Linked DNA regions of Callithrix jacchus. The protein of the gene in region 2 purifies or fractionates together with the protein of the main gene of each other region. This does not show direct contact. Links are inferred from orthologs where the notes say so. Each region holds a gene or a part of one and is shown on either strand. Other genes may lie near its edges. The genes, in order: PPME1, PPP2R2D, ECSIT, PPP2CB, CDCA4, PPP2R1B and IER5.

Region 1 (4,274 bases), on a different chromosome or scaffold from region 2:
CATCTGTTTAAAAAGGATAAGTTGGGGACTTGGATGAATCTGGAAGCCATCATTCTCAGCAAACTGACACAAGAACAGAAAACCAAACACCGCATGTTCTCACTCATAGGTGGGTGTTGAACAATGAGAACATGTGGACTCAGGGAGAGGAGCATCACACACTGGGGGCAGTGGGGGGTGGGGAGGGATAACATGGGGAGAAATGCTGGATATAGTATACACCTAAAGTAAAATAAAAAAATAATATAAAATAAAAATAAAAAATAAATTTGAGAGACAAAAAAAAAAGAAAAGGGTAAGTTGGCTAGACATGGTAGCTCACTCCTATAATCCCACTACTTTGGGAGGCCAACTGGGGCAGATCACCCGAGGCCAGGAGTTCAAGACCAGCCTGGCCAACATGGTGAAACTGCATCTCTACTAAAAATACAAAAATTAGCTGGGTGTGGTGGTGCATGCCTGTAATCCCAGCTACTTGGGAGACTGAGTCATAAGAATCACTTGAACCCATGAGGTAGGAGTTGCAGTAAGCTGAGATCATGCCACTGCACTCCAGCCTGGGCAACAAAGTCTTGCTCTATCTCTAAAAAAACAAAATGAAAAGTAATAAAAAAGAAAAAGGATAAATTACTAATAATTATGCAATCTTCTAATCAGCAGATTTTCCTTTTATTTTCTCTCAGTATTTTCACCCAGTTCTTCAATCTTCAGAGAACTTGTTTTGACAAAGTGAGAAGCTAAGCTCTAATTAAACTTATCTTAAAAATGTATAATTATTAAAAATTTGCTTTTCTTATGTATTTGTATAGAAGAGTGCTGGTATACTGAAAGATCAAATTTTAGTTTAAGAAAGGCAGAAATTAAGATATATATCCACAATTACTGTTACATTAATATTATACTCCAGGTTAATTTTCCCAAATAATGTTATGGGTCGGTTTCCAAATTATCTTTATTCATGTCATAGTCCAATCTTTCTGTCTTCCAAAGCGAAAACAATCTTCACTTTACCTACTATGTAGCTTTCTACCTCCTCTACTGTGCATCCATTTATCTATCTTCTGCTAAAGTTTTCTCATTTTTCTACTGTGTCTCATAGCAGGTCTCCACTTCAGTTCTTAGTTTCCTTCCCTGTTTTTCCCAACCATTCTTCCCATTCCTTCACCCCAGTTGTATAGGCTTCTCCTTTCTTTTCATCCCCAGGACTTACTGTCACAGTACTGCATCACATATTCTCACCTCCTTTTTGATCAGTTTTTACACGTATTACTTCTTCAGAACCTAAGGTTTCTCTTCTGTAGTCCTTTTTCAAAGAATATCTACCAATTCATCTCTAGAATCCCAAATACACTCTCAATTCCTCATAGCTAAGTATTCTTCCTACTCCTTTTCTCTTTACAGTCACTAATTCCCAGAATCCTGTCTGAAACTACAAATATCACCTCAAAATGAAATACTTATTCAATTCTCTCTGCTTTCCAGCAATTACTTCTCCCAGGTTCACCTCATTCTTTTTCCTTGGCCCAAGTATCCCCTAACCTGGCACAAGCCATTTGATGATATAAAATTTCAAGGCCTATCTCTTCAACACAGTTTTCTTCCTTTTCCAGCAAACTTATTTCCCCAAAAACATTTTAAGTGGTTACTCCCAAAGCTTCACTAATTCAAGGTCTTAGGCCAGTACATCACTTCCCTCCAGTCTATTGGCCCAGCAAAAACTGATTGCCCGAAGTTTCCTCTTTAAGCTTCCCATACCTTACAACTGCAGCACTTCCATTCAACAAACCGTATTTATAGTCATTTCTCAATCTTCAGAGCCTATGGTCACTTTCTAAATTCTTTAGTCCTCTCCTTCTTCTCTCTCTCCCATATCCTGTCCAGTTTCTCAGCATATTCCTATTACCTTAACAATCTTCGTGGCTATGTTCTCCACCTTACCTTAGGCCCTCTCCCCAAACTTTCTCATTCTCCCTTAAGACACCTAATCTCACCTCTCATTCCCTGCATCTGCCTTTACACCTCTGGGAATTCTCTAGAATCGTCTGCTTCCTAGTTCTCCTCTTTCCTTCTCCAACCCTGTCTTAGGTGTTCTCTATTCCCCTCAGCTTTTCTAATATCTAGTTCTCACAGTGTAGATATTAGAAGTGTGATAATATCTACTCCTCCCAAACCTTTTCTTAGTTGTTGCCCCAATTCCCCTCAACTTTTCTCTGTCATTCCCCACTTCCCTCCACCTTTGTCACCGTTCTACTCCCTTTTCTATTTTTTCCGGAGGCGATTCTCAGATCCCTTATGTTACTCTCAGCTTCCCTAATTTTGCCTCATGCATTTCTACCGTCAATAACGTTATTTTTCCTCCAATTTCCATTGATTTGGCGCCTCCCCTAGTCCCCCAATCTGCCTTCTACTTCATCTAAATGTCTCCAGGCCGCCGTCAACATTTTCTCCTATCCGTAGACTCCTTTCCCGTGCCTCTCTGGACGCCCAGAGACACCATTCTCCAATGGCTGGGGCCTGGCCCCTAGGGAGAAGGGGTATGGGTCACGTACCCCATTCGCATCTTGGCTCCGCTCTGACTGCCCCCGCTGCCGGGCAGGGGTGGGCGAGAGGGAAGGCGGCCGAGGTGCATGCTCTTTTCGAGGGCCGACATTAAGGGGAGGTTGCACGCACGTAGTCAAACAGTAGGCGAAGCTTCGTCCCACGTTGAGTGTGGCCCAACCGGTCACGGCTCGCTCGCCTAACGACGTCCTGTCGCCTTTGGACAGCACCCAGATACCGGTAGCACCGCCTACCGCCCACCGGCTCCGTAAACTCCACCCACTCGCTTCAGCGCTTCCACCGGAAGTGCGCAACAGCCCTTCCACAAAGGAAGCTGGGTAACTGAGTCCGTGAACTTCGAAGTCTCCCAGCCGGGAACCCGACGACTTTCACCGGAAAGAGGAGCGCTCTTCAGGGCAATGCACCCTGGGCAATGGAGTCCTCGAAGGGCGTATCCCTATGCGCTTGCGCAGCTGGAGGCACCGCCAGCCAACCCCGCAGAGGTAGTGTAGCAAAGCATCCTGGGTATTGTAGTCTATTGTAGGGAAGACGTCTTGGCGCCTTCTCTTTGCACCGTTGTCCGGAGTCTGTTAGAGGAAGAGCGCTTCTTTCTGCCTCCCAGGCTGCACAGCGGCGCCAGTTGCCGGGGAACGCAGGCGCGGTGGGGAGGGATGGCGGGAGGATATTGTTTAGGTGCTGGAGACGGAGTTGAGCTTGTAAAGAAAAGCTCGGGCTCGTCATGAAACAACGAAAAGGCCAAGGGCCTGGGGGCAGCCGTGGGCGCAAGAAAAGAGGTAATCCGAGCGATCAAAGATTGAGGAAAGCGTAATAGTGGAGCAGAATGTAAGGAATTTTAGGGAGACCCCCCCACCCCCGCTGACTAAACAAGATAAGGGACGGAAGAGGGGAAATAGCCAGGGAACCAGAAGGTTAAAAGGAAGGGCAATTGGCCCTCCAGAGAATGGAAAGGAATCAGGGGCTCGGGTAGGGGCCACAGAGTGGTGATAAATGCGGTGCGATGAGGGTTACCGGTAGGATGACTAAAAGAGAAGAACAAACCGTAGGAGTGGTTTTGATAACGAAGTTAAATGTGTGTGTGTGTGTGTGTGTGTGTGTGTGTGTGTGTGTGTGTGTGTGGTTTTAGAGATCCACAGGGACAGGAAAGAACATAAATTGGCAAAGGGATTGTGTCATTGCTGGTGTGATTGTGGGCAAGGATCACGGTTACTACATTACTGAATGACCAAGGACTACTACAAAGCAGTACTCGGTAAATGTTAGTTGAATGAATGAAGCGTGAAGGGCTATGAGCAGGAGTTTGAGAAAATAATTGTGGAGTCTAGCGTGGGGAAGAAAGGAATAAAAGGTGTGATAGGATTGGAGTCGGGGTAAGGGAATGAGGATCTCCTGAAGGACCTGAGATCATGAAAGAGAGCGCAGAGAGCGCTCATCAGGTTAGCAGCTGAAGAAGACACAAGCTCACCAAGTAGGTGACTGCAGTGAAAACAGTCACCCTAGAAACCCAGAGTAGATCAGGAAACTGGACATTGAATCTCTACAAGGCTGCCTTGAAGGAAAAAAGGACTACCCTGCCTTTTTGCATTGTAGGCGGTTTAGTGAGAAAAGAACACTGGGAAGAGTGATAGGACTTTAGGCCATTGGGTTGAGGACTGAAACTACAATCTGGGAATTACTCTTATCCAAGCTATTTAAAGATTACTAAGGCAGTTTTGAGG
Region 2 (3,500 bases):
TCAGAAATCAGCATGTCCAAAAAGAGAGTGTGCTTTCTTCATCCTCCTTTTCCTATTTGTTACTCTCCTGCTCTCTCCTGCCTCCGTCCCAGCAAGGCTTCCTCGAGAATTCCTCTCCCTAGACCCAGTGGAACGCCGCGAGGGTGCAGAGTGTTGGAGAAGGCTGAGGGGTCACTGGGGTGGGAGCTGGGACCAGTTGGTGGCAGAGACGAGCCTGCAGCCCAAGGACAGTTCTCGTGCTGGCGCTTGGGAGGAAGCCAGGGCAGCACAGGCAGCACGCTGACTTGCACATTGTGCCTTTTTGCTTATAGGCCGCAGTTTTTTCTTGGTAGATGAATGTCTTAGGAATAGGACTAATTTGGTTATATACTTTTCTTTTTAAATAATTTGGTTCCATTTTTCTCCCTCGCAATAGAACTGTCTGTTGAAGTGCTGTGCTTCTGTAAAGAGGGGTAGGCGTGGGTCCAAGGAGAGCAGTTTAAACATCCGCCCTGTGCGGCCCACGTGGGACCGTCCAGCCCTGAGAAGCTCAGCTCCTGCCCGTGGAGGCTTCAGTTGAAGGAATGCACCGTACATCAGACTCAATGCAGTGGAGAGCTGTGGGGAGCCTCTTGGGATGACTTCTCCTAATAGAAGGAACATCTGTCTAGACTTAAAAGTTCGTTTAGTTCAGTTTCTTGAGCATATGTACTCAAGTGTCAAACATCTAAGATACTAGTTACTGGCTGTAGAGCAAGAATGAAAATACTGGCATCCTTGATTTTTGAATTACGGAATAATTAATAGAAAATTTCCTTTGGGCATATAGAGATTCAGAGGTTAATAGAGATGCACCTGCAAGCCCACCACCCAGAGGTTATGCCTTCATCAAAGGAAAGAGAACGCTGGGATCCAGATGAAGCTTCTGTCCCCTCCCCCATCTCGTTCTGCCACTTTTCTCCCAGTCTTTCTCACTCTCCCTCCAGCTTCCCAGAGCTGCTCATTCATTTGAAGATGGTGTATATCTTCCTAAGCATGTTCCTCCACTTCTCTAACAGTTGTTTTGTGTGTGTGAAAAACGGATGTAAGCAGCACTCACTGTGGGCGTCTGTACCGCCTGCCGCACTACGCAGCTGTGCCATCGTCCGTGCTAGCTCGTCACCTCCACGGCTGCATGGTGGCCCTGCACGGTTGCATGGTGGCCCTGCACTGTTTCCCTTCTCTAGCTGGTATGTGTGTGGCGTCTGGTTCACTCCCACCATGATGGGGCTGCCACATCGTTGTGTCACGCTCCTCAGGCACGTGCTGGCTCTCCTCTAGGGCAGACTCAGCAGATGCTTCCCCCCAGGGCCAGGTTGCAAACATTTTTGCCTCTGCAGCTCATAGCGGCCTTTTCACAGCCACTCACCTCTACCCAGATCGTGCAGCGGCTGCCAGAGACAGTGTGTGTGTCCCACTAAAACCTGCTCTAGATTCAGACCCGCAAGTTGAATAGAAGAGCGGGAATGTCCTTTCTGTTTTGTTTTTTTTCCAATAAATTGCTGCTGAGTTTCATCTGTTAGAGATTTTTTTTTGAGCCAGGATTTTAGAATTAAAAGCCTGTGATCCTTTGATGTTCCAGTTCAGTGTTAAAGTCTCCTCTTCACTGTACTTTGTTCATTAAAACAGCTCTCATGTCTCCTTGCAGAATAAAAGCCGCCCTCATTCTAGGGGAGAATATAATGTTTACAGTACCTTTCAAAGTCACGAACCAGAGTTTGACTATTTGAAAAGTCTAGAAATTGAGGAAAAAATTAATAAAATTAGGTGGTTACCACAACAGAATGCTGCTCATTTTCTACTCTCTACAAATGGTAAGAATTGTTTTCTAAGTGGCTGTTTGATTTAGTGTTTTATTTTTAATTTTCTGTGTGTAGAGTCCATTTTATTTTAAAAGTTATTCCTGCTTTAAATCTGGGGGCAGGGGGATAAATTATTATCTAGGGTAGCAAGTGAAAGGTTGAAATTGAGAGTATGCAACAAAAAGACACATTGTGTCTGCATGGCTCCACAGCTGTGGCAAACAGGGTGTCCGTGGGGATGCTCACCAGAGACCCAGCAGCTTATCAGCCAGCGCAGGGCCACACCGCTTTCTGATGTGATACTCAAACAGTAGTGATGCATGTTACAGTTTTTCTTTTCATATGGAGAATGAGGTTTTTATTTTCAGATAAAACTATAAAATTATGGAAAATAAGTGAACGGGATAAAAGAGCAGAAGGTTATAACTTGAAAGATGAAGATGGAAGACTTCGAGATCCGTTTAGAATCACAGCACTACGGGTATACGTTGCCTTTTCCTATCCAATGCTTTTCAGAAATTAAGAATATCGTTTGTGTCCGCTGTTCAGAGAATACTGTGCAGTGGAATACTGTGAGATCTACTTTCTTGATTCATGAACCTTATTTGTACTCATGTGTATGTGTTTAAAGCAAGAGATTTCTCCTATTTTCACAAAGGCAAAAAGTCACACGTGGTCCTTAGAAAATACAGCAATACTAAGGGGAAACTCTCATTTAATTCTACAGCAGAAATCTTGGTGGGCATACCAACCACCCTTCTCTCTGAAGGCCGAAGTTCAGAACACTTCACAGGTGAAATAGCATACCTTGCAAATTTAAAGATAAACTGTGGACCACCAAGACACCTTGGTGATGGTTCTCGTGGAATTTCTTTGGGGTTGACATAGGCAGTTGCTGGTAGTTCAGAACTCTTCCCCTGTCCATCCATGAGCATCATTACTTTTTAATTGTTAAACTCTTTGCTCCATTGTTGGTACGTCTCCGCCCCCACCACCATACAGTATGAAATGAGCATAATCAGTTCTGCTGCCTAGATTTTTTCATATTTTAACATCTATGAAATCGGGTAAAACTTAAAACCTTGGTCTTATGATTGACTGGTGCTGCACACCACTGATGGTGTCTTAAATTAGATGGAACATGGTGAAGGGTGTCAGGCAGACTGGACTCAAGCCCAGGTGTGTCTTGGTGAGAAACCAGTACCTGTGCAGAGGTGTGTCCCTGGAAGGAAACCCTGCCTGGTCCCAAGGGAGTGCCATTATTCGATTTGAAAACCATTGGTTGATTAGTTAATTGGTTGGGGTGGTTTGTTGGTTAATCGATTGAGTGGTTTGGTTGGGGTAGGTGGGTGTGTTGGTTGGTTGGTTAATAGGTTGGGTGGTTGGTTAATCGGTTGGGTGGTTGGTTGAGTGGTTTGGTTGGGGTAGGTGGGTGTGTTGGTTGGTTGGTTAATAGGTTGGGTGGTTGGTTAATCGGTTGGGTGGTTGGTTGAGTGGTTTGGTTGGGGTAGGTGGGTGGGTTGGTTGGTTGGTTAATAGGTTGGGTGGTTGGTTAATCGGTTGGGTGGTTGGTTGAGTGGTTTGGTTGGGGTAGGTGGGTGGGTTGGTTGGTTGGTTAATAGGTTGGGTGGTTGGTTAATCGGTTGGGTGGTTGGTTGAGTGGTTTGGTTGGGGTAGGTG
Region 3 (3,710 bases), on a different chromosome or scaffold from region 2:
CCGTGCGCCTCGCCCAGGTACACGCGCCGCACGTCGTACTTCTTCCGGGACTCGAGCCGTCGCCGGGCCCGGTCCGACTCCGTGAGTCGCGGCCGGCCCCGCGCCTTGCGGCCCGCTGCGCCCTCCTCGGTGGCTGCCTCCTCACCCGCGCCCGCCTCAGCCTCCACCTCGGGCTCGGCCGCCCGCTCCGCCATCCCCCCCACCCTGGTTACCAGCCTCCCCCGTTGTTAGGAGCCCGACCGGAAGTGGCGCGCATATTCTGCGCTGCCGGGAAATTTCTCACGGTCTCTCGCTGCCCCGGGGCGCCAAAAGGAGACCAATAACGGAAACTGCGCATGCGCACGACCAGCCCCGCCCCTCTTCGGTTAAACTTTCTAGCTTCGTTTGGTGGGAGAGAACCAGAAGAGCCTGCAGACTCTGCAGGGGTCTCGCTTGCCCATCGCTGGCAGCCTGAGATCCTGGGGAGGGGATGCCACACTGCCAAAGAGGTGGGAAGGGAGCCCCATGCAGCAAAACATTTATTTGCTCCACACTCAAAGGGCATCTCATGCCTTCATTCCAGTCCACCATCTCCTCAGGCCACAGACTGTGCCTTCCTGGAAGCTCAGACTCAGCTCTGGCCCTCCCGCTGTCGCTGCAGGTTGTTGTCTTCTTCCTCGTGGTCCTCGGGCGGGGGTGGCTCCTCTAGCCCTGCAGATGTCTGGAGCTCCCCGGCGGGCCCAGCCAGGCGGAAGACCACGGGGATCTGAGCCAGGGCTGGGTTGGTCTCCTGCAGGTACTGGATCCACCTGGCCAGCGTTGCCTGGTCGTGGGCACCCGCTATGCACATGGCGAAGACAGGGCCTTCCTCCACTGTTGGAAGAGATGCAAACCTCAGGGTTTGCCCAGTTGGGGCTGCAGCGGGTAACCCATGCCTACACCTTTTTAGGTATTTTACACTCCCTTCCACTTTCTTTTTCTGTGATGGAGTCTCGCTCTGTCGCCCGGGCTGGAGTGCAGTGGCGAAATCTCAGCTCACTGCAACGTCTGCCTCCCAGGTTCAAGTGATTCTCCTGCCTCAGCCTCCTGAGAAGCTTCGATTACAGGCGCACATCACGATACCCAGCTAGGTTTATTTTTAATAAAGACGGGGTTTCACCATGTTGGCCGGACTGGTCTCCAATTCCTGACCTCAAATGATCCACCTGCCACAGCCTCCCAAAGTGATGGGATTAAAGGCCTGAGCCACTGCACCCAGCCTCCTCCTACCTTCTTGTACCTCCAGACCTTTGCACAAGCTAGCCCTGCTGCCTAGGCTGCCCACTCCACACTTCACCTGGGCGATGCCTTCTGGGACTTCCAGATTCTGCCAGGAAGCCCTCCTGACCTCCTACTCAAGGCATGCTCATCTCCTCAGCTCCCCAAAGTGTAATTTGCCTGTTCCTTCACTGACCCGAGCGACTAGGCTTGTCCTGGTGACTCCCAGTAGTCAGCACAGAGGTGTGGAAGGAGGGAATGACCAAAGGCCGACAGGGTGGGTGGCCTCAGGTCTGGAGCCCCTGGGACAAATGAGTGTGTGTGGCAGGAGGACCGGGGGTAAGTGGACTGTGTCTCAACTTGGGCCTACCCATTGACCCCAGAGGCCGCCCCTCATCCTGGAAGTCCTGCCTGTCCAGGTTTTTGCCTTTTTTTTTTTTTTTTAAGAGTTAGGGTCTGTCACCCAGGCTGGTGTGCAGTGGCTGGATCATAGTTCACTGCAACCTCAACTCCTGGGCAAGTGACCCTCCCACCTCAGTCTGTTGGAGGGCTGGGATTACAGGCACATGTGTGAGCCACGGCATGGGGTTCAGTTTTTACCTTCATCGATGTCAAACTCATAGTCATCCCAGCCATGCCTCGCATAATCTAGGTCCAGCGACATCGGGTAGTAGAGGTTCCACTCCTCTGGCATCTCTTCCACTTCCTGCTCCAAGGAGGGTAGTGCAGGCAGGGTCAGAGGTTGGGGCTCTCGCAGTCTCCCTTCCCCAGCCTCTCCCACTCGCCCTCAGGGTGGTGCCAGCCCATTCCCCAGCTCTGACACATGCTCTGCTTTAAGCCCTCACCCTCTCCTCCAAGGGCAGCAAGTCAGCTCTGAGGATGTGGTAGTACACACACTTGTTTCGGAGCCACAGGGAGAAGGGACCCTCGACAAAGATAGGCCGGGTTGGGTTGTGGCGAGCCAGGGCAGCCTGCTGATCGGGACTCTGGATTCCTGGTGTGGAGACATACATGCTCTGTGCCCTGTGTGGGAGTCTCCCCAAAGGCCCAGGGAGCCCAATTTGGGCCCAGCAGGAACCTGGCAGGGCCTGGGGCAGGTTAGAGGCCTGGCCAACCCCATGCTCTCAGGACTTACCTATGATGTGGGGCTGGGTGGGATCTGCTACATCTGTTGAGTCTTTGGAAGAAGCAGTCTGCAAGGAAGAGAAGGGATGTAATCTTGTAACCCCCAACCCCCTGCAGAGGAATTGGGGACAGAGAAACAGAAAGGGAGATATCAGCAAATTGAGGACACCTCTCCTAGACCTGGTGTGTGGCCCTCCATCCCATCCCCTCCTCCCTCTCTCCCATTTGGCAATAGCCCCCAATCTTTAGGATGCTCACCCTGAGGGTAGCACCCTGGAGCCAGCCCACCTGTGTCAAAATCCTAACTCTGTCACAAACTGTGTGACCTCGGCCAAGTCACTGTACCTTTGTGCCTCAGTTTCTCCAGCTGCACAATAGGGATAACAGCACTTAATTCTAATTTTTTGTTTTTTTCTTTTTTAAAGATGGGGTCTCCCTCTCTGTTGTCCATGCTGGAATACAGTGGCATGATCATAGCTCATATAGCCTTGAACTCCTGGGCTCAAGTGATCCTCCCACCTCAGTCTCTGAAGTAGCTGGGTCTACACATGCACACCACTGTGCCTGGCTAATTTTATTTTATTTATTTATTTATTATAATTTCATTTTTCATATGGAGTTTTACTCTTGTTGCTCAGGCTAGAGTGCAGTGGTGCGATCTTGGCTCATTTTAGCCTCTGCTTCTTGGGTTCAAGTGATTCTCCTGCCTCAGCCTCCTGCGTAGCTGGGATTACAGGCACCTGCCACCACGCCTGGCTAATTTTTTATATTTTCAGTAGAGACAGGGTTTTGCCGTGTTAGCCTGGCTGGTCTCCAACTCCTGGCCTCAGGTGATCCGCTTGCCTGGGCCTCCCAAAGCACTAGGATTATGGGCATGAACCTAACTTTGGGTAGTTATAAAACATGTAGAACAGTGCCTGGCAGGTAATAAGTGCTCAATGCTTGTGAATTAACGAAAGAAAAATAACTTCACATATACAGAATATCCCAGGAAGGAGACATTAGAAGCAAATGATAGCTTTCACCTCTGTGGGGGACAGGGTGGGAAGGAATACCTTTCGGTATCTTTTAAAATGTTATACCCTGAACATAATTCAGAAACACTAGACAATTTTTTTTTTTGAGATGAAGTTTCACTCTTGTTGCCTAGGCTGCAGTGCAATGGCACGATCTCAGCTCCGTGCGATCTCAGCTCACAGCAACTTCTACCTCCTGGCTTCAAGCGATTCTCCTGCCTTCGCCTCCTGATTAGCTGGAATTACAGGTATACACCACCATGCCTGGATTTTTTTTTTTTTTTTTTTTTTGCATTTTTAGTAGAGACAGGGTTTCGCCATCCTGGCCAGGCT
Region 4 (4,294 bases), on a different chromosome or scaffold from region 2:
TTTAGAAGCCGAAGGAAAAAAAAATCTCTTTTGACAAATACAGAAAGTTTCACAAGTGATTGACACTCTGGTGTGATTATTTCAAGGTATAGTAGTGGTACAATATTCTTCTCTAGGAGTTCATCTTAAAATTATTAGAAAGTCAATGGGGGCTCTGCACAGGGTTCACGCCTGTAATCCTAGCACTTTGAGGGACTGAGGTGGGCGGATCACTTGGGGCCAGGAGTTCCAGACTAGCCTGGTCAACATGGCGAAACCCCATCTCTACTAAAATCAGCGCATGGTGGTGGGCACCTCTAATCCCAGCTACTCGGGAGGCTGAGGCAGGAGGATTCCTTGAACTCAGGAGACGGAAGCTGCAGTGAGCAGAGATGGCACCACTACACTCCAACCTGGGTGAGAGAGTGACATTCTGTCTCAAAAACAAAACAACAAAAAAAGAAAGTCAATGGGAAAAACAGATTCAAATAACACTTTGCCCATAACTTCAAGTCTGCATTCTGATGTTCATAGCAAGGTTAACTGACTCAGCTCATTTCAAACCTGTACAATTCACTTCACATTAGAGCTTGAGAAAGATATTTAAAGTATAAATTTTAAGACACAATAAAATGAATGTTTACTGAAGCCACAAGTAAGCAGTTTGTTTCAGAAAAAGAAAAATACCACTTGCTTGGCACTTCTATTTACAAAAATAAATTCTTCGGTGTTAACCAATAGTTACTTAATACATAAAGGTCTCAGGCAACATTATACCCGTTAAAAACACTATTTTAACTTAACACTATTAGTGCTTCTTTTCTAAGTAAATTTCATGATTTTAAGAATGTCCTAAAATAAGACTAACAAAAAATTGTCCTTTTCTTGTGTATTTCTGCAATATCATGATTTCTAAGCGTTATGGTTAAAAAAAAAAAAGTACAGATTATGTTAAAAATAAATAACCTCGTTACTTCATGGACTTCAAGTGGGAATTTTTAACATGAAAAATATTTAGTCCATCTTATAAAGGATAAATGTGGAAAATTAGACTTTAAAGATGGAGAGATGGAAATGATTCCAGGGGTTAAGACAACAAGGAATATAGTATTTATAAAGTGAAGATCACTTTACAAACTCATGAACGATGTACAAGAAAGAATTGACCACCTGCAGGCGTTATTCTTCGGAAAAGAAAAAACTTTATATTAAAATGGAGAATAATTGTCTGAAAAGTGCTATCATGCGTGAAAACGCACACCCCACCTCATTTCCAGCAAACACGGTTCCCAAACTCAAGACCCGCTCTCGTTTAGGAAAATCAATGCTTTACTTCCAAGAGCGAGTGAAGGCAAAGACCAGTCACCATCTGTTTCCACCAAAGTCAACCTCTATTTTAAAAATCGCAGCTGGCCATCACGCCTACCTCTCCACAAACAAACGCTTGACACATTAAAGAGCCAGTAATTTTTTTTTTTTTCTTTTTTCGGAGACAGGGTCTTGCTCTGTCGCTCAGGCTGGAGTACAGTGGCGCGACTTCAGCTAACTGCAGCCTCCACCTCCTGGATTCAAGCGAACCTCCGGCCTCAACCTCACGAATAGCTGGGATTACTGGCACCCGCCACCATGCCCCACTAATTTATTTTTTATTTTTTTTTTTGTGGAGACAGGGCCTCACTATGTTGACCAGGTTGGTCTCTTAACTCTTGGGCTCAAGCAATCCTCCCGCATTAGCCTCCCGAGTAGCTGTGACCACAGGCGTGAGTCACAGCACTTGTGAGTGATTTTTGAGGTGCCTCGTTCGCCTGACAAAAATTCTACATTAATTAACAAGTTCATTAGTAGGTACGACATTCTGGTTAATTTTAGGTGCATTTTCAGAGACAGCATTGCTCCTTTTCGGACGCCGCTCTCGGTAGCCCACTCGGGACATGCTGGAGTGGCAGGAACTCCCCAGGGGAGCGCAGGCAACCTGACCAACCTCAGGCTCGACTCCGGGGGGCGCGTTTCCCTTTCCGTCCACACCCGAGCCCCCACGCCCGGGATCTGGGCCGCCGGCCGCGGGCGTGGGGCGTGTCAGCGCCGAGGCAGAGGCGCCGGGCGAGGGCAGTCCAACGCTCCGGTCCCTGACCGGCCGGGCCCGCCGCCCGAATGGAGGCCGGGGCTGCAACCCCGCAGGCCCCCGGTGGGCCAAGCCGGGCCGGGAGCGGACGGGCCTGGGACGTGCAGGAAGGAAAGCGGCGGCCGCGGCCCATCCCAGCCCCGCGCTCTCGCACTCCCGCACTCGCCCCCGCGGCGCCCTCACCTTCTCGCACAGCGTCCGCACTTGGTTCTCGTTCAGCTGCTTACACTCGTTCAGCTGCTCGACCCACTGGTCCAGCTCCTTGGTGAACGCCTTGTCGTCCATGGCGGCCCGATCCCGATGCGGATCCCGAGCCCCTGCCCCGCAGCCGCCCTCCCCCCACCCCACCCGCCCCCGGCCCCGGCCCGGGCGCCGCTCCCCTCTCCCTCCGCCGCCGCCGCCAGATCCCACTGGGGGAAGACAGAGCTAGGGAGGGCGGCCGCGGGCCCCGCGCCCCGCCCAAGCCCAGAAGGCGGTTCCGAGCGCGCGGCCTGGAGGAGACCCCCGCCCGCCCTTTCTCGCCTGGCCGCGCGCCGCGCGAATAGGTGAAGGACGCGGGGAGGTGCCGGGGAGCGCGCCGCGGGTTCTCGGCCAACTCCCGCTGGACGAAGGCCGTCCGCCGCCACCTCACACCCGCCGGCCTCTACAGGCTATCTTTCCCCTTCTCTCGCTCTTTCTCTCCCCTCCCTCCAGGTTTCCGTCATCGCTCGGGCATTTCCGCCGGGAAAAGGCGAGCAGGCGGCACCGCCCGCCCACGGCGCACTAGGAGCAGAACAGCGCCCTCGCTTGGCCTGGCGGAGAAACGGTCTGAGGAGGCCGGGGTCCCTCCTCCTTTCTCAACCCTGCCCCAGACCAAGCTCTGCTGGTTCTCCCTTCAGATAGACTGATCTCTGGGAACTTTGTCCTCACTTTAGCTTCCTGCAGTACTTTTTCAGTGCTCTGGACAGGGAATTGGAAAACTTGGGCTCCCCTTAACATTGTTCCCCCCAGAGTCTAGCACTCAATAGCAGGCATTCAATATTGATGGAGTAAATAATTGATTATTTACAGCCGGGTCTGTAGTCCTAACATCTCGAATCCTTCCCTTCAACATTAGAAAAGTGAAATGGTTGTTCTGTAGGATAATCTGTGGCCCTTCCAGCTCTAGCGTTCTTGACTGCGTTTTCTGCAATATGTACTGAGGTTAATGATTTGTTCATTCAACAAATATTTATTGAGACAGAGGAGGGACCCCTTCTTAGGGGCCAGCTAGGCACCCCCCTCCCCAAGTATGGAAAGGAAAATCTTGAGTTCTCTCAAGGGACATTCCCGGCACCTAACTTCCTCGAGAAGTCAATGAGCAACCTGATAAGCAAGAAGGTAATAAAAGCTTAAGGCAGTAACCAAGGACGTTAGATTCACAAAATGTTTGGTTCCTTAAAGAAACTAAAGAGGACGATGTCCCTGAGTTGTTTTTTAGAAACCTGGACCCTCACCAAATGGAAAGTGCTGTCCACTGGCATGGAGACTTCAAACTATCTATCTTTGTTCTAAATTTCTTACTGAGGAGCCTGGAAAAATTCACAAAGCTTTGCCTCCTTAACCAGTTGCAAATCATAAAATCTTTGAATCCATCTATGACCTGTGGGTCCCTGCTTCAGATATCTTGGCTTTTTAGATCAAATTCATGTATAGTCTCCATGTATTGATTTATGACTTTGCCTGTAACCTCTGCCTCCCTGCCTTTAAAAACCCTTACCTGGGCTGGGCACAATGGCTCACGCCTATAATCCCAGCACTTTGGGAGGCTGAGGTGAGTGGATCATCTGAGATCAGGAGTTCAAGACCAGCCTGGCCAACATGGTGAAACCCGTTTCTACTAAAAATACGAAAATTAGCCAGGCATGGTAGCGGGCACCTGTAATAATCCCAGCTACTCGGGAGGTTGAGGCAGAAGAATCACTTGATACTGGAAGGCAGAGGTTGCCCCATGAGCCAAGATCTCACTATTGCACTCCAACCTGGTGACAAGAGTGAAAAAAAAAAAAAAGGAAACACTCGGAAAACCCCCTTACCTGTAAACCATCAGGGAATTGCGGTCTTCAGCATGAGCTGCCTGATTCTTCTTGCTTGGTGCAATGCAATAAATGCCTCACTTTCTCTCACTGCAAGTCCCAATGCCAGTGTTTGGCTTTGCTGTGCTGGTGGGAGGAC
Region 5 (4,084 bases), on a different chromosome or scaffold from region 2:
TGTGACCCCAAAGAGCTGTCACCCAGAAAATGTGTTTAGGGGTGAAAAGGATAAGACTGGGCTCGGAAAAGCTGGCCCGTGAGGATCACCCTGAATCGGGTTCTATCTGCGTTTGTGACAAAGTCAGCAAGAACATGGTCCTCACCAGCCCTGAGGGAGGCCTGGGCTGGGCTCAGCTCCCTGAGGGTGACTCTGGCCTGAGGCTGCTTAACTCCTTCTAACACAGAAGGATCACGGGTCCTACACCAGTGGGGCTGGGGAGTCTAGCTTCCTGTTCAACTTTTTTTTTCTTTTAAAGATGGAGTCTTGCTCAGTCCCCCAGGCTGGAGTGCAGTGATACATATCTCAGCTCACAGCAACCTCCACCTCCAAGTTCAAGTAATTCTCTTGCCTTAGCCTCTCAAGTAGTTAGGATTACAGGCATGTGCCACCACACCCGGCTAATTTTTGTATTTTTAGTAGAGACAGGGTTTCATCATGTTGGCCAAAGTGGCGTCAAACTCCTGACCTCAGGCAATCCTCCCACCTCGGCCTCCCAAAGTGCTGAGATTACAGGAGTGAGCCACCCTACCCAGCCCAGCTCAATTCTGAAGGTCTTTCTACACTTTTAATTAAAGGTCTAAAATCCCACCAGCTCCTCAAGGGTGTCAACGAGACAGCTAAGGCTGTCAGGGTTCCCCCTCGGTCAACTGCCAGCACTGCCCTTAGGCTTCTAAACCAGGCACCAACCAGAGAAAACAAAGAGGGCCAGACTGAGGACATGTCCGACACGGCAGGTGAACAGCCAACAGGCCACTATGGACAGCAACCTAAGCCCACCCAGGCAGAGGCCAGGAGCAGCGCCGAAGTGCTGTTCAGGCAAGTACAGTACAGCTCAGGGCCCGGCCCCTCACTACAGCAGCAGTGGCCACCCCTTCCGGGCTCAGCAATCCCACTAGGCTGGCTGAAAATGCAGATTCCCAGAATCTGATCAGTAGGGCTGGGACAACTGGGGACAGACTCAATTCTGACCTAACCTGTCACCTTCACAGCTGGACGGCAGCCACTTTGAAGTTTCGGGTTTTTAAGCAAACCAACAATTTCAACTTCTATCACACATCAGATAGGCTTTGAAATATTTCATCTGCAAACAGGGAGGAGCAAGGTCTGCACTCTTCAGAGCTACCGCATGGGAGCTCCTCCTTCCACTACAGTCTGCTGGAGACTGTTCATGAACAATTACTGATGTTACTTTCAGGTACTTCTGTTTTTCTGAGATGGGGTCTGTTGCCCAGGCTGGAGTGCAATGGTGGGATCCCCGCTTACTGCAACCTCCACCCATGGGGTTCAAGCGATTCTCCTGCCTCAGCCTCCTGAAAAGCTCGGATTACCATTACAGGCATGTGCCGCCACCCAGGCCCATTTTTGTATTTTTAGTAGAGACGGGGTTTCACCATGTTGGCCAGCTGGTATCGAACTTCTGACCTCATGATCCACCTGCCTCGGCCTCCCAAAGTGCTGAGATTACAGTTGTGAGCCACCGCGCCCGGCCAATTTCAGGTACTTCAGTTACTTGGAATGATACACATCCTTTCTTTTTTTTTTTTTTTTTGAGACGGAGTTGGTTCACTCTTGTTCCCCAGGCTGGAGTGCAATGGCGCGATTCTCCTGCCTCAGCCTCCCGAGTAGCTGGGATTACAGGCACGCGCCACCACGCCCAGCTAATTTTTTGTATTTTTAGTAGAGACGAGGTTTTACCATGTTGACCAGGATGGTCTCGATCTCTTGACCTCGTGATCCACCCACCTCGGCCTCCCAAAGTGCTGGGGTGACAGGCCACACCCTTTCTTTTTCCCGAAAGCATGTTCCAATGGCAGGTTGAGGAAACTTCCTAGCCCCCTTTCCAAGATAAAGGCGGTCCCTTCACTCTAATCATAAAGCACGTGACACTTGACAAGAGAGCGGTTGCACGTGGAAGGTTTATACGGCGTTAAGTTTTGGGAACGGGCGGTGTTTTTCTAAGGCTCGCTTTGAGAACGGTTATCTGGGTCCCGCCGTGTCGTGCGCCCCACACGAAGGTCCCAGGAGGAGAGGCCGCGGGGACCTTGTCCCCCGCACGCTGTCCGAGCCTTTGTCGCGACGATCCCGTCTGCGGGGCGAGAGTTCGAACACGTGGAGGGAAGCTGGCCTCCGACTTCCGCGCGTCTCGGGCCCTGTTCCTCGATCCACCTCGGGAAGACGGCGCTGGCCGACCCGCCGGGGCGGGGTCTGGGCTTCCTCCCGCATCCTCGGCCTCCTCCGCAGCCGGGCTCCACCTGAGCGGGCTGAGACGCGCCCTGGCCCGGTGAGCGGGGCGGGGCTGGCCCGGGGCGGCCGCTGCGGAGCCCCCGCCGCTCCCTCCGCCGCCCCCGCCGCTCCCTCCGCCGCCAACTAGAGCCGAGGAGCGGGAAACGCCGCTGTGAGCCCCGGCGGGGCCCCGGCGAAGTCCCAGCCCCGAGCTCCGCGTGGAACGCAGACAGCGGCGCGGGCCCGTCGGCTCCGCGGGACCCTCAGCAGCGGCCACCCCGAGGGGAACGCAGCGCCCGCGGCAGCCCCAGCGGGAGTCCCGGGCGCCGCCTCCGCCCCGGATCCAGAGCCAGGAGCCGTGGACCCCGCGCGCCGCCCCGGGCTCCTCCGCGCCCTGCAGCACAAAGGCGCGCGCCGCCGTAGCCACCCTCGCAGTCCGCCCTGCCCGCTCACCTGACCCGCGAGGCCGCCCGCCGGGTCCTCCGGTCCTCCGCTCCGCCGCCGCCACCGCCGCTGCCGCCAGCTTCCCGCCGTTGAGGGAGGAGCGCCCGCCAGCGCGGGCGGGGCCCGCGACCGCCACTCCGCGCTCACAAAGGGTCGACGCTGCGCTGGCCGCGCGCCGCGCTCGCTGATTGGCCACTCGCGGGTCAGGGGCGGGGATTCTGGTTCAAACCTGCGCGGGCGGGGCCTCTGCGGCGAGTGTTCCCGCGCGGAGGCAGCAACCGTTGGAACCCCCGCGCCGGCCCCGCCACGCCCACTCCCCGCCTGCTCCCAGGTCTCCCTGCGCCCAGTCCGGCTCCGCCCCGCCAGCTCCCAGGTCTCCGCGCGTCTGGCCCTGAGTGCGCCTGCGCCTGGGGCTCACGTGGGGTCCTCGGGCGAGCTTAGCCCGGCAGCTGGGTAGGGGATGATGCTCTTTCGCCCGCGGAGGGATGCGTGCCGGGGTGGGGAGGAGCCGGGCACGGCAGTTTCCGGGCGGCCTGGGCTCCGGAGTCCGTCCAGGCCTCTCCAGAAACCGGGGCATCTCCAGGGGTTTCCCAGGTTGACACGTTAGAAATACAACGTGAAAGTAGAAAGCAGGGACACGTGTTTTGAATCTCTTAGTACAAAAGCCTGCAATCACTGACTTCGGTAATAGTCTTTGAGCGCCCGCCGCAGGCTCGGCAGGTGTGGCTGCAGCGGGGAACCCAGTGCAAGTGAAACCTCCCGGGTGACGGCAGTGGTGGTGGACGGGAATCCGCAGATGAATCCGCAAATATGGATGCGCCAAGGTCAATAGTAAAGGCTGAAATGCTGTTGGAAAAAGCTGGGAATGGCGTGGGGGCGCTGCTCACATAGGACTCTAGAATGAGGGGCGTCTTAAGGCACCAAAAGGAAGAGTGGAAGAGAATTCCAGGAGAGGAATGTCTGGGACAGAGACAGAGGCAGGCTGCAGGACAGCGGCGTGATTATGGCTCGCTGTAACCTCAAACCATTGTACTCAAGTGATGCTCTCGCGTCGGCCTCCCAAGTAGCTGGGACTTGAACAGGAGTGCGCCACTACCCCAAGCTAATTTTTTTTTTTTGTAATTTTGTGGAGACAGGATATTGCCGTATTACCCAGCCTGGTCTCCGACTCGTGGCCGTAAGTGACCCTTGGCCTTCCAAAGTGCTGGGATCATAGGCATGAGTCACCGCAACCACGAAGAATCACTGTTAGTAACAGATTTGGAGGAGGTGACAGGAAGGCTGGAAGTATAAAATCCCATTAGGTTACCGCCCAGGTAAAAGAAAATGGGACTTGATAAGACCACCTGAGAACTGAAAGTTTATGCATGTCAAA
Region 6 (3,500 bases), on a different chromosome or scaffold from region 2:
GCTCAAGCTGGTCTTGACCTCTTGAACTCAAGCAATCCTCCCACCTCAGCCTCTCAAAGTGCTGGAATTCTAAGAACAAGCCACTGCACTCAGCCAGAAAAATTTTTTTAAAACTAGCCAGGAGCTAGTCTATATGTCTATAGTCCTAGCTACCTGGGAGGCTGAGGCTGGAGGATCACTGAAGCACAAGAATTTAAGGTTGCAGTGAGCTATGATTATGCCATCGTGCTCCAGCCTGGGCAACAGAGTAAGACTTTATCTCTTAAAAAAAAAAGATATCATAAATCCTGCTACCCCAGTATCAGTCACTCACTGATAACAAAGTACTGTGTAAATTATCAGCTACAAGTCCCCAGTAATCCCAAATAACTCAAAAAAATACCATAGCTTACTGTCTAATGTCTGCTTTAACAGCATTTGATGCCCTGGGATAGCACACGCTGAACAAACCACATGCAGACGTGCGAGAGGTGAACCAATCCCCACTTGCTAGGCGTTTCACCAGAGGTACAAAATAAGCTTCCAGAGCAACGGGAGTATGCTCCTGGGAGATCTGTCTCAGGGACTCCACAGCTCTGTCACGAACAACAGTCTCTTCCGCAGTCGCCAGATTTTCCAAAGGAGGCTGAATGGATTAAAAAAGAAAACCAGAGAAGAAAACTTATTGAATCAGGTTAGAAACAGATTATCACCTTTTAAAGTGACTGAAGGGAGGTGGTACATGTAACCAGAATGTTAGCTCCATCACACCAAATGGTTACTTTCAGCTCACACAGTGATAACATATGGTGCAGAGAACCCGAAGACACGACTTTATAGAAAAGCCAAAATCTCATGTCCCAGATGGCAATTCCCAGATGGTGTCTACAAATGACACAGTGTAAGAGACTTGACACAATATTAATATTACTGTGAGCTGAATCACTAGGTTTAAAAGATATATAGCCAAATTCAGACAGGATCGTGTGTATTTCCTCAATAGTAAGTACAAAAACATGATCAACACTGGGCACCACATTTACAGGATAACAGCTTGTCAGGTCACTGAGTCCACAGCCTTTTCAGTATTATTCTACCATTCCCAGAGGTGCAAGCAACCCTTATCCACCATCTCCATGCCATCCTTTTATCCAACCTATAAAATGCTGAATACAAAATAGCTTTTTTCAGAACACATTCAGCAACTTTCCATTAGCCACAGGGCAGGAGTTTCTGACAGAACAATCAACTGAAAACTACAATGACGGCCAGGTGCAGTGGCTCACACCTATAATTCCAGCCCTCAGGAGGCTGAGATGGGCAGATCACGTGAGGTCAGGAGTTCGGGCCAGCCTGGCCAACATGGTGAAACCCTGTTTTTACCGAAAAATACAAAAATTAGCCAGACATGGTGGTGCACGCCTGTAATTCCAGCTACTCAGGAGGCTGAGGAATGAGAATTGCTTGAACCCAGGAGGCTGCAGTGAGCCAAGATTGTGCCACTGCACTTAAGCCAGGGTGACAGATAACAGAGACTCTGTCTCAAAAAAAAAAAAAAAAGTAAAGTACAGAGATGGCAGGGCCCCTTGCTTACAGCTTTAGAAACAGAAGAGGCCAAAGCAGGTGGATGGTCTAGATTAGGATCAGTAACTGAATATGGCATGGTCTAGTAAAAAGTATAAACAGGCTGGCTCTCTGAACCTCTGCCTTACTGAGTTTGCATGTAATCCAGGTAGATTCTACACATGCCATAAGCTACAAATTTTAAAGCATAAAACTCACCTGTAGAACCAACCAAAAGTGAAACAGAAGCATAACGAGTTATTAAGTTATCTAATAAAAGATTCTGAAAATTATTTGACACAGGTAGACAGTATTCAGCTTTCCTACAGGGTATTTCCTACAGAAACCCATTGAACAGATACTGTTTTTCACTTGCCAAGGCCTTTCACCATCTGTCCCCGCCTACTGTAATACCCTCTCATGCAATACCACTGGATAATCGCTATCACTACTACAGGATGAGGCCATGGTCCTCAGAATTGCTTATGAGTTGTCTTGATTTGAACTCTGCTTGGCCCTTGATGACCACTCTGCCTGCCTACTCCAGCCTCAACACTTCACACTCCAGAAGTCCTTTTTTTTTTTTTTTTTCAAGAGACAGGGTCTGGCTGCACAGGTTGAAGTCCAGTGGCACAATCATGGCTCAGTGTGGTCTCAAACTCCTCATCTTCCTGCCTCAGCCTCCCGAGTAGCTATGACTAGACATAATGACACCATGTCCAGCTTTTTTTTTTCTTAAGAGATGCAGTCTCACTATGTTGCCCAAGCTTGTCTTAAACTGCTGGCCTCAAGCAATCCTCCTGCTGCTTTGGCCTCCCAAGGCTAGGATTACAGGCGTGAGCACCCATGCCCGGCCACACTCCAGCAGTTTTGAACCCAGCCTGTTTCATGCTTCCAAGCCTCTGAAATTCATTTTTTCAATACATGATTATTGTTGTATTCTAGCACTGGGGACACAGAAGAAACAAACCAGACAAGGTTCCTCACTCTAGTGGCATTTACATTCTAATGGAGTAAGACAATCAATCAAGAAAAGAAGATGGTGATGAGTCCTCTGTAGAAAAAAGGAGTTGGATGATGTGGTAACGGGTGACTGGGAGGCTATTTCAAGTTGAGTGTTTGGGGAAAACCTCCCTGAAGAGATGCATTGAAGCTGATCCCTGAATGACAAGGAGCCAGCCACAGAATGCTCAAGAGAGCATTTCATTATAGGAAAGACCTAGGGCAAAAGTCTCAAGGTAATAAATAATGAGCTTGGTTAGTTCAAAGAACAGAAAGAAGACCAGTGTGAATGAAAGAGGTTATCAAGGCATTTGAGGTCTGTCCCCTGCCTACTGTGACCTCTTCTCATGCAGTACCACGGGGCATATGATAAGCCTACAGAAGCGAGTCTTAAAAAGTCTTGTAAGCTAAGGTAGAGAATTTGGATTTTCTTTTTTTTTTTTGAGACGGAGTTTCGCTCTTGTTACCCAGGCTGGAGTGCAATGGCGTGATCTCGGCTCACCGCAACCTCTGCCTCCTGGGTTCAGGCAATTCTCCTGCTTCAGCTTCCCGAGTTGCTGGGACTACAGGTACACGCCACCATGCCCAGGTAATTTTTTGTATTTTTAGTAGAGATGGGGTTTCACCTTGTTGACCAGGATGGTCTCGATCTCTTGACCTTGTGATCCACCCACCTCGCCTCCCAAAGTGCTGGGATTATAGGCGTGAGCCACCAAACCCGGCCCAGAATTTGGATTTTCTAAGAGCCATGGCAGACAGTGAGCCATCTGCTGGGTGATGTGAACTGTAAGGGTGGGGTGAGAGGCAAGAGTGGAAGGTATTGTTAGGAAGCTACTAGAGCAATCTAGAGGAAAGATGATGATGGTCTGGACTAGGCTGGTAATAGGAGGGATGGAAGAAAGTGGGCTGATTTGAAATATATTTAGACTCTATAGGAATTACTAACGGATCAGATG
Region 7 (3,900 bases), on a different chromosome or scaffold from region 2:
GGTTCCACATGGACTCCAAGAAAGCAGTGCTTAGTTTTCTCATTCAGATTGTGGCTGAGAGTTGTCATTTATCTTCTGTATAATAAAGCAGATGTGTATGTGACTTCCCCCTTTCCGCAGTGGAGACACTGAAGCGGCCTCAGGTTCTCAGGCAGGTCTGTGGTGGAGTTTGCTGGAACTAACTGGAACTGACTCTATGTTTCCAGTCCAGAACTCTGAGCAACCCTGTGGCAATTCTGCCCTAATACACTTATAAGGACCAGTAGATGGACTAAGGTGTTGACAGACCACAAAATTCTGGAACTCCCTTGCCCTGTATTTTTACCTTGACACAAAATGAAATTATGACATCATCATGGGAACACAGGACTTCTCTCTTTGTATTTTCAGAACTTGCTCGATTTTTCCAAGGGTACACTGGTCAGTCCTTGTAATGGAAAAAAAAAAAAATCATTGTGGAGAACCTGTAACACCTTCCACCTAACCTGTTTGATAACTAGCTTTGCTCTACAATCTGGAGAACAAAGTGAAAGATGCCAGCTTTAGACGACAACCAATAACTTTGTATCTAGACACAATTCCTTGATAAGCCAAAAAAGTAGCCAAAAACTTCTAGAATTCCCCTTTTCTTTAGGGTTAGAACTGACAGCTGCTAAGAGTGTATGTGACTCTATTAGGGAAAGCGGCTCGTCCAAAAATAATAACTGCCAAATACCGTGCAGTAATGCTATTTGTTATCCAGAAGTGTCCTACGCCGCGTATAGCCACCATCTCTATTTTAGAGTTGAGGGGGATGGCTCACAGGTGTGGCTGGCCTGGAAACCGTGGCGTGGCTGGTGAGGGCGGGGTCGATCACGGAAGGATCAGGACTTCATGGCAGAGCAGAGTCCACCACCACACTCGGATGAAAGTTCAAAGATTTTGTTCGCTTTGTTTCTGGCAAGCCATCACACAATCCTGAGTCTGTAACTCTAAACAGTAGCGCCCACGAGCACAGCCCCCGACCCGCACTCCCCCCGGCCCTGGTTGGCGGCCGCACACCCACACCGTAGCCCCCTTTAAGAGCCTGCTCCGCGGGACTAACGTTCGAACGGGCCCTGGCGCCCCTCCTCGGGCTCCGATTGGTCGTGCGCGGCGCACGAGGGCGCGCCGGCCAGCCTCAGAACGGCTGGCATCCCTTCGTGATTGGCGGTCGCGGAGCCTATATAAGGCACGGGACGGCCGGGCTGCCTTGTTTAGCGACCGGACCCGGAGCTGGGCGCTTGTCTGGTGTGGAGCGGCCAGCGGGACAGCGCGCGCGTCACCGCAGTCGTTTCTCTTCGGAGTCTTAGGCGATCGAGGGTGTACCCAGGGGCGGACTTGTTTGTGTTTCCCGTCCCCTCCCGGCTTCCGAACGTGACACCCCGTCACCCCGGCGCCGGCGGCCGTGTGCAGGGGACGCAGGATGGAGTTCAAGCTGGAGGCTCACCGCATCGTCAGCATCTCCCTGGGCAAGATCTACAACTCGCGGGTCCAGCGCGGCGGCATCAAGCTGCATAAGAACCTCCTGGTCTCGCTGGTGCTGCGCAGCGCCCGCCAAGTCTACCTGAGCGATCCGTGCCCCGGCCTCTACCTGGCGGGTCCCGCGGGGATCCCGGCGCCGCCGCCGCAGCAGCTCGGGGAGCCGGCAGCCGGGCCACCCGCCGGCTGGGGAGAGCCGCCCCCGCCTGCCGCCGGTGCCTCCTGGGCGGATACGGAGCCACAGCCGGAGGGCTCCGCGGTCTCAGAGGCGCCGCGGGTGGGGGACGCGGTGCCGGAGGCCACGGTGACCGGAGTCGGGGTCGTTCCTCAGGGCGGAGCCGCGGACGCGGCGAAAGCTGCCTGGAGCCGAGTGGAGGGGCCTCGCCAGGCGGCGGCCGGAGAAGCCGAGGGTCCCGCCGGAGGCTGGGGTGTTTTCCCCTTGGGGTCTCGTGCCTCTCGCCGCCCCTGCGGCTGCCCCCTAGGCGGGGAGGACTCGTCGGGTACACCGGCCGCGACCCCCCGCGCTGCCTGCTGCTGTGCGCCGCGACCCGCCGAGGACGAGCCTCCCGCGCCGCCAGCCGTGTGCCCCAGGAAGCGCGGCGCGGCGGGGGTGGGCGGCGGCCCAACGAGCTTCCCGGCGCCCGGCTCGACCCCGCTCAAGAAGCCCCGCCGGAACCTGGAGCAGCCGCCGAGCGGGGGAGAGGACGACGACACGGAGGAGATGGATACCGGGAACGTGGCTAACCTCATCAGCATCTTTGGTTCCAGCTTCTCGGGACTCTTACGGAAAAGCCCCGGGGGCGGCCGGGAGGAAGAGGAGGGAGAGAAGAGCGGTCCGGAAGCCGCCGAGCCCGGGCAGATCTGCTGCGATAAGCCGGTGCTGAGAGACATGAACCCCTGGAGCACAGCCATCGTGGCCTTCTGAGCCCCTGCCTCCGTGCGGGGAGGAGGTTGAGCAGCGGGCGTCCCCGAAGTGAGGGCCGGGACCCTCCCGGCTGCAGGGACGCCCAGAGACCGCAGGCGCTGAGCGCGTTGGGCAGACTGGTCGCCGCCGGGCATCGCAAACCGCCCCCGGGCGCGGGGGCCCTGCCGGCCCGGGACTCTCGAGGCTTTTCTGGAGACCAGGGAGCTTGAGGCTCATTGGAAGAGGACGATTGTTAACTTTTGTGTTTGTGTATGTCAGTGTGTGTAAGTTTGTCTTGTGGCATTAAGACTATTTTGTCCTTCTGGAATGCACCACTCCTTCCCCGGGGCTTACGAGACTGGGGGCAGACAGGGACTTTCCTCTGCCTACAGCGTGGAGAAGGAAGCGGCTAAAAGGTTTGGGCCGGGGAGTTCCCCATTCGTTCTCCGGAGAGCGAGGGACTTTACACCCACCCCTCACCGGAAAGCTAGACCCGCTTCAGGGCCAGGAGTGGCGTTTCCGCACAGGATTTCCTAAGACGAGAGGGATTTTAGCCACGAGCACCGACTTGAATTCCTTCCCTCCCTCCCCACTTTTCTTTCCCAATGAAGAAACGCTTATGTCCTGTGATTACTCTAGGAAAGGGGAGTATTAACGGCCCTTCGCTTCCCCGCAGGGGTGAAAAAGCTTGATGAACTTCACAGAAGAGTTCAAGCTTGGAAATACGGAGTTTATAGAGAAAAGATATATTTTTAAAAGCTCTAGGTCAGAACTACTACACAGTGCTTTTAAAAAGTGTTTAATGAAAGTTTACAGACAGAAGCCCTAAGTGAAAAGACCTTATGGTTTTGTAGATAAGGTGACTCCAGTCTTTGTTGTATAAAGGTTGGGGGAGCTGATAAGGTTTTTGTACAGTATTTTCTCCTTCGTTGTATTGATTTTTGTATAAAAATGTAACTTCTACGTGTCTAACACGTATTAAATATTTTGAAGCAACGTAACTGCCTCCTTGTCTGTAATAACCTGCCTGGGTTGGGAGGGAAGTGGGAGGAGGGAAACCAGGGCCTGTGCTAGAAAATTGAAGGTGTGGTTCTTGGTATCAGTCACTCGCAGACTGAGGACATTGTTTACTGACTCCACCAAGTATCAAGAGAGACACGTTTAGTTTTTTCTTCTAGATCAGAGGGCCGCTATTAGATAGTAATATCACCGACCTGCCAGGGTCTTGAAACCTGCCATTACAACTGCCTTTTGTAAGGTCAGTTTAGGCCAATTTGACTGTCACCAATACATGGGTGTCCATTTTATTAAGTAATTTAAGCAACTTTTGAAGCCCTGCTCATCCACAAAAATGTTTTTCAGCTTAGTTTCCTGTTATATGGATCATCTTTTCGCTTTATTATTGAAAAAAATTTAGATAGTAGTAGACCTTAAAAGCCTGATGCAACCGACATAGGAAGCTGAAAGAGACTGACTTGTCCAAATTGTCAGGTCCC

What was found.
Region 1: the proteins of PPP2R2D (region 2) and PPME1 purify together in Homo sapiens (affinity purification with mass spectrometry; 4 studies listed by BioGRID and IntAct, counting the BioPlex papers as one, with this or other methods). This does not show direct contact. The link is inferred for Callithrix jacchus from reciprocal best matches to the Homo sapiens genes PPP2R2D and PPME1.
Region 3: the proteins of PPP2R2D (region 2) and ECSIT purify together in Homo sapiens (affinity purification with mass spectrometry; 3 studies listed by BioGRID and IntAct, counting the BioPlex papers as one, with this or other methods). This does not show direct contact. The link is inferred for Callithrix jacchus from reciprocal best matches to the Homo sapiens genes PPP2R2D and ECSIT.
Region 4: the proteins of PPP2R2D (region 2) and PPP2CB purify together in Homo sapiens (affinity purification with mass spectrometry; 6 studies listed by BioGRID and IntAct, counting the BioPlex papers as one, with this or other methods). This does not show direct contact. The link is inferred for Callithrix jacchus from reciprocal best matches to the Homo sapiens genes PPP2R2D and PPP2CB.
Region 5: the proteins of PPP2R2D (region 2) and CDCA4 purify together in Homo sapiens (affinity purification with mass spectrometry; 3 studies listed by BioGRID and IntAct, counting the BioPlex papers as one, with this or other methods). This does not show direct contact. The link is inferred for Callithrix jacchus from reciprocal best matches to the Homo sapiens genes PPP2R2D and CDCA4.
Region 6: the proteins of PPP2R2D (region 2) and PPP2R1B purify together in Homo sapiens (affinity purification with mass spectrometry; 4 studies listed by BioGRID and IntAct, counting the BioPlex papers as one, with this or other methods). This does not show direct contact. The link is inferred for Callithrix jacchus from reciprocal best matches to the Homo sapiens genes PPP2R2D and PPP2R1B.
Region 7: the proteins of PPP2R2D (region 2) and IER5 purify together in Homo sapiens (affinity purification with mass spectrometry; 3 studies listed by BioGRID and IntAct, counting the BioPlex papers as one, with this or other methods). This does not show direct contact. The link is inferred for Callithrix jacchus from reciprocal best matches to the Homo sapiens genes PPP2R2D and IER5.

What each region holds. Positions count from the first base shown.
Region 1 is NC_133511.1:66,763,890-66,768,163, forward strand, and holds the start of PPME1 (protein phosphatase methylesterase 1), read right to left. Parts: upstream 2,801-4,274; 5' UTR 2,651-2,800; coding exon 2,550-2,650; intron 1-2,549. Other genes in the region: C2CD3 (C2 domain-containing protein 3), read left to right, coding at 2,972-3,041. UniProt on the Homo sapiens protein: Demethylates proteins that have been reversibly carboxymethylated. Demethylates PPP2CB (in vitro) and PPP2CA. Binding to PPP2CA displaces the manganese ion and inactivates the enzyme.
Region 2 is NC_133513.1:125,243,570-125,247,069, forward strand, and holds part of PPP2R2D (serine/threonine-protein phosphatase 2A 55 kDa regulatory subunit B delta isoform), read left to right. Parts: intron 1-415; exon of another isoform or gene 416-616; coding exon of another isoform or gene 617-658; intron 659-1,666; coding exon 1,667-1,832; intron 1,833-2,188; coding exon 2,189-2,301; intron 2,302-2,547; exon of another isoform or gene 2,548-2,613; intron 2,614-3,500. UniProt on the Homo sapiens protein: Substrate-recognition subunit of protein phosphatase 2A (PP2A) that plays a key role in cell cycle by controlling mitosis entry and exit. Involved in chromosome clustering during late mitosis by mediating dephosphorylation of MKI67.
Region 3 is NC_133523.1:10,642,915-10,646,624, forward strand, and holds the end of ECSIT (evolutionarily conserved signaling intermediate in Toll pathway, mitochondrial), read right to left. Parts: intron 3,626-3,710; exon of another isoform or gene 3,512-3,625; intron 2,430-3,511; coding exon 2,372-2,429; intron 2,231-2,371; coding exon 2,082-2,230; intron 1,943-2,081; coding exon 1,837-1,942; intron 853-1,836; coding exon 611-852; 3' UTR 501-610; downstream 1-500. Other genes in the region: ZNF653 (zinc finger protein 653), read right to left, coding at 1-194.
Region 4 is NC_133514.1:31,978,076-31,982,369, forward strand, and holds the start of PPP2CB (serine/threonine-protein phosphatase 2A catalytic subunit beta isoform), read right to left. Parts: upstream 2,801-4,294; 5' UTR 2,387-2,800; coding exon 2,285-2,386; intron 1-2,284.
Region 5 is NC_133509.1:139,880,571-139,884,654, forward strand, and holds the start of CDCA4 (cell division cycle-associated protein 4), read right to left. Parts: upstream 2,801-4,084; 5' UTR 2,719-2,800; intron 1-2,718. UniProt on the Homo sapiens protein: May participate in the regulation of cell proliferation through the E2F/RB pathway. May be involved in molecular regulation of hematopoietic stem cells and progenitor cell lineage commitment and differentiation.
Region 6 is NC_133511.1:11,463,780-11,467,279, forward strand, and holds part of PPP2R1B (serine/threonine-protein phosphatase 2A 65 kDa regulatory subunit A beta isoform), read right to left. Parts: intron 626-3,500; coding exon 393-625; intron 1-392. UniProt on the Homo sapiens protein: The PR65 subunit of protein phosphatase 2A serves as a scaffolding molecule to coordinate the assembly of the catalytic subunit and a variable regulatory B subunit.
Region 7 is NC_133519.1:39,363,894-39,367,793, forward strand, and holds IER5 (immediate early response gene 5 protein), read left to right. Parts: upstream 1-1,233; 5' UTR 1,234-1,444; coding exon 1,445-2,425; 3' UTR 2,426-3,400; downstream 3,401-3,900. UniProt on the Homo sapiens protein: Plays a role as a transcription factor. Mediates positive transcriptional regulation of several chaperone genes during the heat shock response in a HSF1-dependent manner. Mediates negative transcriptional regulation of CDC25B expression.